2 linked regions of the Arabidopsis thaliana genome follow. The protein of the gene in region 1 interacts with the protein of each later gene in a pairwise test. Each region holds a gene or a part of one and is shown in the gene's direction. Other genes may lie near its edges.

Region 1 (4,809 bases):
GATGATACAGATGAGTGACTAAAATGGAAATTTATGCACTAAAATGGAAATATCCCTTGGTCCAAAGGTCTTTCCACCTTCTTCTTCATAGCTTAATCACCATGATTATGATCATATATATCTTTGACCAACCAACAAGAGTGGAGCTCTAACTAATATGTGTAGGTACCATCTTACATATCTCCATATACGCATGCATATCATTTTCGAACCAATTTAGAAGGTGATGTATATAATCAAAAGTATTTAGGATGATGGTTTATCGCGTGAACACCATTTTGTTTAAGTACGTGGTCATCGCAAGGTAACCATCTTTATTTTCTTGGGTTGATCTTCACTAGCTATATATTAACCAATTACATATGTATTATTTTGTACTGAAGAAAGGATATAATTTGTAATCGCCAAATGATTGAATTAGTATTTGCTAATTACAAAAATTTGTAGAAATCGCGATAATTATCAACTTTTTTACTATATCCCATCATTCTACTATTACGCAATGTTATCAATTGTACTAGTTTGTTTCATCCACTATGTAAAATCATTCAAACCCTAAAGTCGATGCTCATCAGCTCATGTATATGTATGTATCATGTATATGTACATAAGATATAAAACCTTTATAGATGTGCATGTAAAAGAATGGTAGATAGTAGTAGTAGGTGTGTAAGGAGAAAGATCTAGGGGGCTTCAAAAAAAGGAGAGAAAAGGACAGAGCATGTGAAAAGAGACAGAGAAACAAACAGAGGAGTGAACAGTCTTACTCTTTTTTTTTTCTATGCACTTAATGAACCCAACCCTCTCTGTATATTTCTGATTCTTCACATGTCTTCCTCTTCTTTTTTATTCCGAAAACTTTTCTTCAGTAAAAACCAATGCCGAAAAAAATACATAATAAAAACGACAAAATATCTAACATTTTTTATATAAAAAGGACAAAAGTACTTTCACTTCACTTGCAACCAAACAAACCTAGTCCCCTTCTTTATCCAATGGTCTCTCCCCTGCTCTCTATTTCTCATCTAAACACCCTTTTCTTTCTTTCTTATTTACCATTTTGCCAACTTATGTAAAAGATGTTAAGAAGAAAATGTGAAAATTTAGTAAAAATCTCTCTTTTGTATTGTCGTCAGAAACTGTAAAATAATCTTACTCTTTTTCAAGTCAGCATATAAGTTTGGTTTCTTCTCCCGAGTCAGAGATTCGTGCAGTGATGATACAAGAAGCTTATTCCGAATTCTTTTCATAAATACTCGTATTTCCTTCTTCTTTTTTTTTTTCTTTTTTTTAACATCTATCTGTTCTTCTTGCATCTATCTGATTTTCCTCTGTCTTTTAGACAGTAATAACAGAGCTCACTAAATGTAATAAATAAAAAAATGAGCTCAATAAAAAGGTAAATGGCACTCATTTTTAGGCCATCAAGTGTTGGGATACAGCTGAAATTAAAAAGGCGTCAGCTCAAAGGAAAAAATAAATAAAAAAGATTCCCAAAAATCAATGCACTTTTATAGAAAAAAATACACATAATTTCAAAAAATACTTAAATTTTGAAAAATAAGATGAAGAAAGGATTGAGAAGAGAGGAAAGAGTAGTCAGAGAGACAGGAGCATCAAGTGCTGCAGAAGAAGCAACAGGAACACTGGGCCTGAGTCTCTTCAGATTTGCCAGTCTTTATAGGACCACACTCTTCTTCTTCATCCCCCTTACATACATTTTATCTATTTTTACATTTTACAATATTGGATATTTTAATGTTGTTTTGATTTTACACTACATGGCAAAACTCCTTAAAAGCTCTTGTCCTGATGTGATTCTTTTTTCTTTTCAACACTGTCTAAATATCTCTCTCTTCTTTGTGATCACTCTTTGATTTATTAACTTTCTGATTACCATTCCCCCCAAAATAAACCCTACTAGAGTGTGACTAATTGTATAGTAATCTCTATTGTGTAATAATCTTTTATCTTTCCTCAATACAAAAAAGTAGGGTATATATATAAAAGAGGGAGTGGCCTCGTGTAGAGAAAGAACCTAGCTAGTGTTCATGCAATTTGCATCTGAGGAATATATGCTTAGAAAGAGAGAGAGAGAGAGAGAGAGAGAGAGAGAGAGAGAGAGAGATATCAAACCAGAGGAAAAGAGTGACAGAGAAAGTGGTCATCTTTGTCTGTCTCTGTCCGAAACTCAGGAGCCCTAATCTCTGAATCCATCAAGAAAGCTCTTTCTCTTCCTTCTTTTATGCTTCTGAATTTGCTACATATATAAACTATCTGAAGAAAGCTAGAGAATAAGATGATGAGTCTAAGTGGAAGTAGCGGGAGAACAATAGGAAGGCCTCCATTTACACCAACACAATGGGAAGAACTGGAACATCAAGCCCTAATCTACAAGTACATGGTCTCTGGTGTTCCTGTCCCACCTGAGCTCATCTTCTCCATTAGAAGAAGCTTGGACACTTCCTTGGTCTCTAGACTCCTTCCTCACCAATCCCGTAAGCCCTATACCTATACTTAATTTTCTTTCTTTCATGTTTTCTTTTCTTGCATAAAGTTTCAATCTTTTGTTGATTCTCATGCCCCCAAAGTTTTCAGCTTTATGTGTTTTAGAGTGATTTGGTTTCTGGTTAAAGTCTCTAGCTTTTTTTTTCAACGACCACTTTTAAAAACTCAGTTTCCACAGTCTTACTTTTAATGATTTTGGAACTTAAGGTCCTAATTAGGGTTTTACATCATGATTAATTTTAGGGTTTCGTTTTAATTAAATGATGCAGTTGGATGGGGGTGTTACCAGATGGGATTTGGGAGAAAACCAGATCCAGAGCCAGGAAGATGCAGAAGAACAGATGGTAAGAAATGGAGATGCTCAAGAGAAGCTTACCCAGATTCGAAGTACTGTGAAAAACACATGCACAGAGGAAGAAACCGTGCCAGAAAATCTCTTGATCAGAATCAGACAACAACAACTCCTTTAACATCACCATCTCTCTCATTCACCAACAACAACAACCCAAGTCCCACCTTGTCTTCTTCTTCTTCCTCTAATTCCTCTTCTACTACTTATTCTGCTTCTTCTTCTTCAATGGATGCCTACAGTAACAGTAATAGGTTTGGGCTTGGTGGAAGTAGTAGTAACACTAGAGGTTATTTCAACAGCCATTCTCTTGATTATCCTTATCCTTCTACTTCACCCAAACAACAACAACAAACTCTTCATCATGCTTCCGCTTTGTCACTTCATCAAAATACTAATTCTACTTCTCAGTTCAATGTCTTAGCCTCTGCTACTGACCACAAAGACTTCAGGTTCTGTGATCTTATCTTTAGTTTCTCTTGTTGATCTTTTATGGAAACTTTTATTGATGGATTGTTTTTTGAATTCAGGTACTTTCAAGGGATTGGGGAGAGAGTTGGAGGAGTTGGGGAGAGAACGTTCTTTCCAGAAGCATCTAGAAGCTTTCAAGATTCTCCATACCATCATCACCAACAACCGTTAGCAACAGTGATGAATGATCCGTACCACCACTGTAGTACTGATCATAATAAGATTGATCATCATCACACATACTCATCCTCATCATCATCTCAACATCTTCATCATGATCATGATCATAGACAGCAACAGTGTTTTGTTTTGGGCGCCGACATGTTCAACAAACCTACAAGAAGTGTCCTTGCAAACTCATCAAGACAAGATCAAAATCAAGAAGAAGATGAGAAAGATTCATCAGAGTCGTCCAAGAAGTCTCTACATCACTTCTTTGGTGAGGACTGGGCACAGAACAAGAACAGTTCAGATTCTTGGCTTGACCTTTCTTCCCACTCAAGACTCGACACTGGTAATTAATTAATCTGCAGACGTAATCTTATGATCTATGCTAATTATTGATAGTTTCAAAATTAGTTTAAATTTATTTTCTCAGGTAGCTAATTAAGTAGAGCTGGCATCAATGATGGATCTGCACCAACACACACAACTGTGAAATGTTGAAGAAGAGTCACATTTCACATCTATTTCCGTGGAACAATGAGACAAGACACTGTTTGCAGAATCCTATATGTATTTTTTCTATCTTTTTCTATGTGTGTTAGGTCCAACAAGAAAAAGTGATCCGACAGATATATCTGTATGTGTTCTCTTGCTTTCTCAAGAAATCAGATTTTATTTTACTGTCGCTGATAGCAACAAAAGAAAACATGACTTGATTTGTGAGGGGTATCGTTATATATAATTTATTTGTTTCTTAGGATGCAAGCATCTATATAGTTTCACACATATAATCTAGATTTTTTCTAAGGCCATGTTCTGATTAACTTACTTTAAATGTAAAACATTCATGCAGAGGAATAATAGTAGACTAGGTTGCAAATTCTGTAGGGCAAAGGATACGATTATCCGCAATTAGTTAAAGTTTTATATGTAAACACAGACACAAATAATCAATTACTATCTAAATGGCTGTATGTTGAGATTATCCGCAGGTTATGAAATGACGTTACATAGGCCCAAGTCTTGAATCACGCATTTACGAAACGAGAGTATGGTCAAAACTCTACATAATATGGCAAAACATTAAACTTATTATTATAAGAAGAAGAACCATAAATTTTGTTGTCGTTTATAGAAAACAAACAATCATATACAACTTTTGGTGTATGCTTCCTTCCATGTATGTGCTCCTTTAGCAAAAGGAAAGATGGGAGAGTTAAAAGACAAAACGTCATGACTCTTGATCCATTAATCCTTTTACGTGCGTATGAGTACTTGGAATCATTGGTCATTACCAACATTAATCTTATATTTTT
Region 2 (5,087 bases), on another chromosome or scaffold:
AAGTTCTCCAATATCTTGGTGAATATTCATATTAATCGGTCAAAGATAGTACAATAATAAGTTACAAGTTGCTGCAACACTTTTCTCTATGTAAGAGGATTCAACATCAACCTCACATTAACTATAAAATTTATGGCTGTTATATAGAAAATAAGGTAGTATAAAATTAATGTCGTAAAAATTTAATATTTCTTTTAGGTATTAACCAAAATGAATTGATCATTTGTAAGCGTTTCAGAATCCTACCTTTAACTTCATAATCTCAATTTACAGTATGCAAACAACTATATTGGTCTGATAAAAAAGAAGAAATGGTATTTTTAGTTTTGTTCCTAGTGTTTTTGGTTTGCTTTTAGATGGCATAGAAACACTATTGGTTTGGTTATTGTCTATAAGACATAATTAATCGGGAAAAGAAAACAATTCATTTATCCTTACAGATTACTTTAATGTTCATACATAATACTATAGTTAAACAAACAAACATTAAAAGTTGAGCCTCCGTGGTTCATATATGCAGAAGGAATATCTCGGATCCATTTTTGGTACCAACGAATAAAGTGTTAATTAATATTTAACCACATCTACAAGAGGGTTTAACGTGGAATTAAGTATAACCACGCAAAGATAATATAGCTGTTGAATCTTTTTCTTTTTAAATTACCGACCATCGAAACGTACTTCAAGAATTCGAACAAAAAGTTAATGAGACTTATCAAATAACTCCAAACTAATTATTATTATTTTCTTTACAAAAGCATTTCAAAAACTTTAGAGACCCTTTGGTTGAGAATCATCAATATTAAACATTCAAACCAAGTTAGGGCAGTGTTTTGATGGTCGATAACTCGTCTTATTGGTCGAGACAAGTGATCGAGTTAGTATTAACATATGTAAAAAAAAAGAAACATGTATTGATCATTGTTGAGGATAAATTTCATCTATTAAGATATCAGTCAATTATAATGTGTTACGTGATTCGATAAAAAAAAAAGACCAAAAAAAAAAAGAAGATAACTATTGGTAAGCGTAAGAAATGTGTTTACATTTTGGCATTTTGCCAAAACACATAAAGATGGTTAGTGATGAGACGAGACGAGTCATGCGCTACTTTTAAAACAAAATGAAAAACATCATTAAGCTAACAAACCAAACACACTTGTTTTGATAACATGTTCTAGGGAACTAGTTATGCCAAATCTAATCCGCATAAGAAGACTAAGTCACAACATAATTCAGTAATTTGGTTGAGATTAAATCCTATAAATATGATTTTAAGGTATAAGAGAGAAGAGACTCTTTTGATCAACACAATCAAACATCTACAAAGAAAATTATCTCACATAGCTACTTCTTAATCTAATTTTTTCATTAATCCATTTTATTTTAAATGTGAAGAATCGCATCTAGATGTGACCTCTCATGATAAAAAATTAAACCATTGTAAAAAAAATGTTGTGTAAAACTAAATATAATAAATTATTAAAAAAATACAAATTCAATCCACTAGGTTAAAAACTCCTATGTAGAACATTTTTTTATATTAAAATGTAAATACATGAATCTTATTTTTCGAAAAACTAAAGACATCTTTTTTTTATATATTAATTACCAAAACAAAATAAGACGACAAAAATATTCTTTGATATAGTAAAAGAAAACTAGAAAACTAGAAAACAATAAATTACCAAAACAATCTAGAAAACAATAAATCCTACTTTGCATTACTTTATTATAAAATCCCGAAATGAATCTATAAATGTAGAAAATATTATACAAAAGTTGTAAGAGATTTTAATATACATAATTACATATATATACAAGTAAATACACCGTATATACATACGAAGGAGTAAACAGTATTATTTGGTATATAGTTACGTCTCTATATACGAAGGGTTCAAACTTCAAAGTAATAATTTAATCAACAATGTGTACATATTGATAAGTAGTAGTATATATGTAAAGGTCTCACGTCTCTATAATAAAGTATGACTCGTCACGTGACCTCCTCTTCTTCGCAGAGACAGAGATAGGATGAGACAGAAAGAAACCAACAAAACCAAACCCCAAAACCCAAGAAAAAGAGAAAAACACTCTCTTCTCTTCTCTCTCTCTCTTTCTATTTAAGAGACTTCACTGTCTCTCTCAGTCTTTTAACGCAAAACAACTTTTGTGGAGGAGAGAAAGCGAGATAACACACACACAGAGATACACATCTTCAATAGTTAAGAGTTTTCTATATACAGAAGCATAGAGGAAAGAGAGAGAGACAGATACAAAAGTTAATATCTCTCTCTCTCACTTGGTGAGACTTCTCTTTTTCCTCTGGGTTTTGTGGTGGGGGTTGTCTCTATAAAAACTTATATATATAAAATATATAAATAAATAAGAAGGAATTATCAGGTTTTATATAAAATAGCAAAAGAAATGCAACAGCACCTGATGCAGATGCAGCCCATGATGGCTGGTTACTACCCCAGCAATGTTACCTCTGATCATATCCAACAGGTTCTCTTCTCCTTCTCCTCCTTCTCCTTCTTCTTCTATTATATTATCTCTTTCTTTTTTCTTTATTATATGTTTCTTTGAATTCATAAAGGAAAGTGAAGAAATCTCTCTTGCAAGTACCTTATAACTTTTTCTTTATATTATATAAAAAAGTATGTGAAACCCTTTTCTTCTGTTCTCATAACATAGATGATTTTTTTTCATTGGTTCTTTTTTGTTTGGTAAAAGAGTTCTTGTTATTCTTGTTTCCATGTCTTTTTTTTTCATAGAGAAATTAGTTTTAATACATGTGTGTTTATGTTTGATAAATTTGGTTGGTAGAGATGCTTTGGTCACTAAGATGATTCTTTCAACTTTTTTTCTTTTCCTTATAGATTTGGTGTATTATCAGTTAACTTTGATGCTAATTAAATGTCTAAAACCAGACAAAGTTAAGAAAGATTCTTTCTTTCAATGAAAATGAATGTTTAGGGTCCAGTTGTGTTTTGAGTTCTTGAAACATGTAATGAAAAATAACGTGTTCAAAACAGACAAATCTTGGGAACTGAAGATTTGTTTCACATATCTCGTTTTTTCTTCTTGTCTTGGTTTTCGGGTTCTGGAAGTTTCATTGATGGCAAAAACCACAAAGCCATTTATGTGAATATTGTGGGTGGTCCTGTTTAGATTTGTTATCATTATAAGTAGATCTATGTGTATTTTCCAGTCCAAGTGTTTCTTTTATTGCTTACATGACCAGATATACTTTGTGGTCCGAAACAACATCTGGTCCTTATCTCAGTTTTTTTTTTGTGTGGTCCTCAAAATCTTTTCGAAGAAAATCTTTCGTTACACTTTTGTGATATTTCAACATTATTGTCTTTTGAGATAAGTCGGAATTTAAGTTACTGGGGTCTCCTTTTGAGATTTTCTATGTCTTTATTACAACAAAAACAAAATAGTATGCAAATTTTTTGTTTGTAGCATTAGTAATGATTAATGAAAATGTTTGATTGTAGTACTTGGACGAAAACAAATCGTTGATTCTGAAGATTGTTGAGTCTCAAAACTCTGGAAAGCTTAGCGAATGCGCCGAGTAAGAGACAACATATCTCCTTTATGATTTCACTTGTGTTCTGTTGAGTAACAAGAAATGATGATTAAAATGGTTATAGGAATCAAGCAAGGCTTCAACGCAACCTAATGTACCTAGCTGCAATAGCAGATTCTCAGCCTCAGCCACCAAGTGTGCATAGCCAGGTGATTGTTTATACAGTGAAGTATTCCAAATTTTGTTGTATGATCAATTGAGAAAGTGATTTGTTTTGTTTGGTTATTAGTATGGATCTGCTGGTGGTGGGATGATTCAGGGAGAAGGAGGGTCACACTATTTGCAGCAGCAACAAGCGACTCAACAGCAACAGATGACTCAGCAGTCTCTAATGGCGGCTCGATCTTCAATGTTGTATGCTCAGCAACAGCAGCAGCAGCAGCCTTACGCGACGCTTCAGCATCAGCAATTGCACCATAGCCAGCTTGGAATGAGCTCGAGCAGCGGAGGAGGAGGAAGCAGTGGTCTCCATATCCTTCAGGGAGAGGCTGGTGGGTTTCATGATTTTGGCCGTGGGAAGCCGGAAATGGGAAGTGGTGGTGGCGGTGAAGGCAGAGGAGGAAGTTCAGGGGATGGTGGAGAAACCCTTTACTTGAAATCATCAGATGATGGGAATTGAAAGAGTGTGGCACAAGGAATCTTAATGATGAAGCAGCAGCAGCAGCAGAAGAAGTAGTAGTAATAATAGGAGTCTTGAAGTTAGTGTGTTTTGGTTTTAGTTGCTTGTTGAAGAAGCAAAGAACTCTTTATTTACTTCTTTTTAGTTTTGTTATTCTCTCTATGTTTGTTCCCTAAAACAGTGAACCTCTTTCGTGGTAGTGTACCATGTAAATCTGCTGGCTCCAAGTTGTGTCGTAATCTTAATATGTTATTTCTCTGAGTTAGACTCTTTTGCTTTAACCAGGACTGAAGTTTTGTAGATCATTGATGTTACCTATTTGGATTCTAAATCGTTATGTAGGCTATATTATTGTTTTTTTTTTCTGGCTGTTATACATAATTTTATTTTATAGTTGATAAAGTCCAACCGGTTCAGTCCAAGACTCATATGACCAGCCTTAGTGGTCCTCGCAAGGTCCCATACTGCTGAAGACCGGACCATAGCCACCCGAAGCTGCACTCAAACCAAAGACCATATTCGGGTCCATTTAAGATAAAGTCTCGTGAAGAAAAGAGGGTTTCAAAAATGTGTCTTTTGGTCCCTTTGCTTCGTCCTAGATTCTTCAAGTAGTATTGAGTGTGGATTTCCCTTAGTTGAGAGTTCCATCGACGATTGTTTTTCTAGTGTCTGGATTCCCCTAGGAGGCCAAGCCCAGCCCCTGCTTTTTACAACTCAATCACAAGCCAAGAGAAGTCTTCAGTTATTCTATTACTTCCTTCCCTTTGGCAAAACTATAAGCCTTGAAACAATATGTCACAAACACTAGTTAAATGTTTAGACCGCACCACCATAGGCCCCAAGTATGTATTTGACATGTTGGCTTCA

The links.
Region 2: the proteins of GRF5 (region 1) and AN3 interact in binary tests that used the Arabidopsis thaliana proteins (3 or more experiments, as listed by UniProt).

What each region holds. Positions count from the first base shown.
Region 1 is NC_003074.8:4,606,227-4,611,035, forward strand, and holds GRF5 (growth-regulating factor 5), read left to right. Parts: upstream 1-1,849; 5' UTR 1,850-2,299; coding exon 2,300-2,498; intron 2,499-2,777; coding exon 2,778-3,309; intron 3,310-3,387; coding exon 3,388-3,842; intron 3,843-3,926; coding exon 3,927-3,934; 3' UTR 3,935-4,271; downstream 4,272-4,809. UniProt on the Arabidopsis thaliana protein: Transcription activator that plays a role in the regulation of cell expansion in leaf and cotyledons tissues.
Region 2 is NC_003076.8:10,646,964-10,652,050, reverse strand, and holds AN3 (SSXT family protein), read left to right. Parts: upstream 1-1,988; 5' UTR 1,989-2,430; coding exon 2,431-2,511; exon of another isoform or gene 2,512-2,663; intron 2,664-2,675; exon of another isoform or gene 2,676-3,509; coding exon 3,510-3,586; intron 3,587-3,665; coding exon 3,666-3,750; intron 3,751-3,830; coding exon 3,831-4,220; 3' UTR 4,221-4,584; downstream 4,585-5,087. UniProt on the Arabidopsis thaliana protein: Transcription coactivator that plays a role in the regulation of cell expansion in leaf and cotyledons tissues.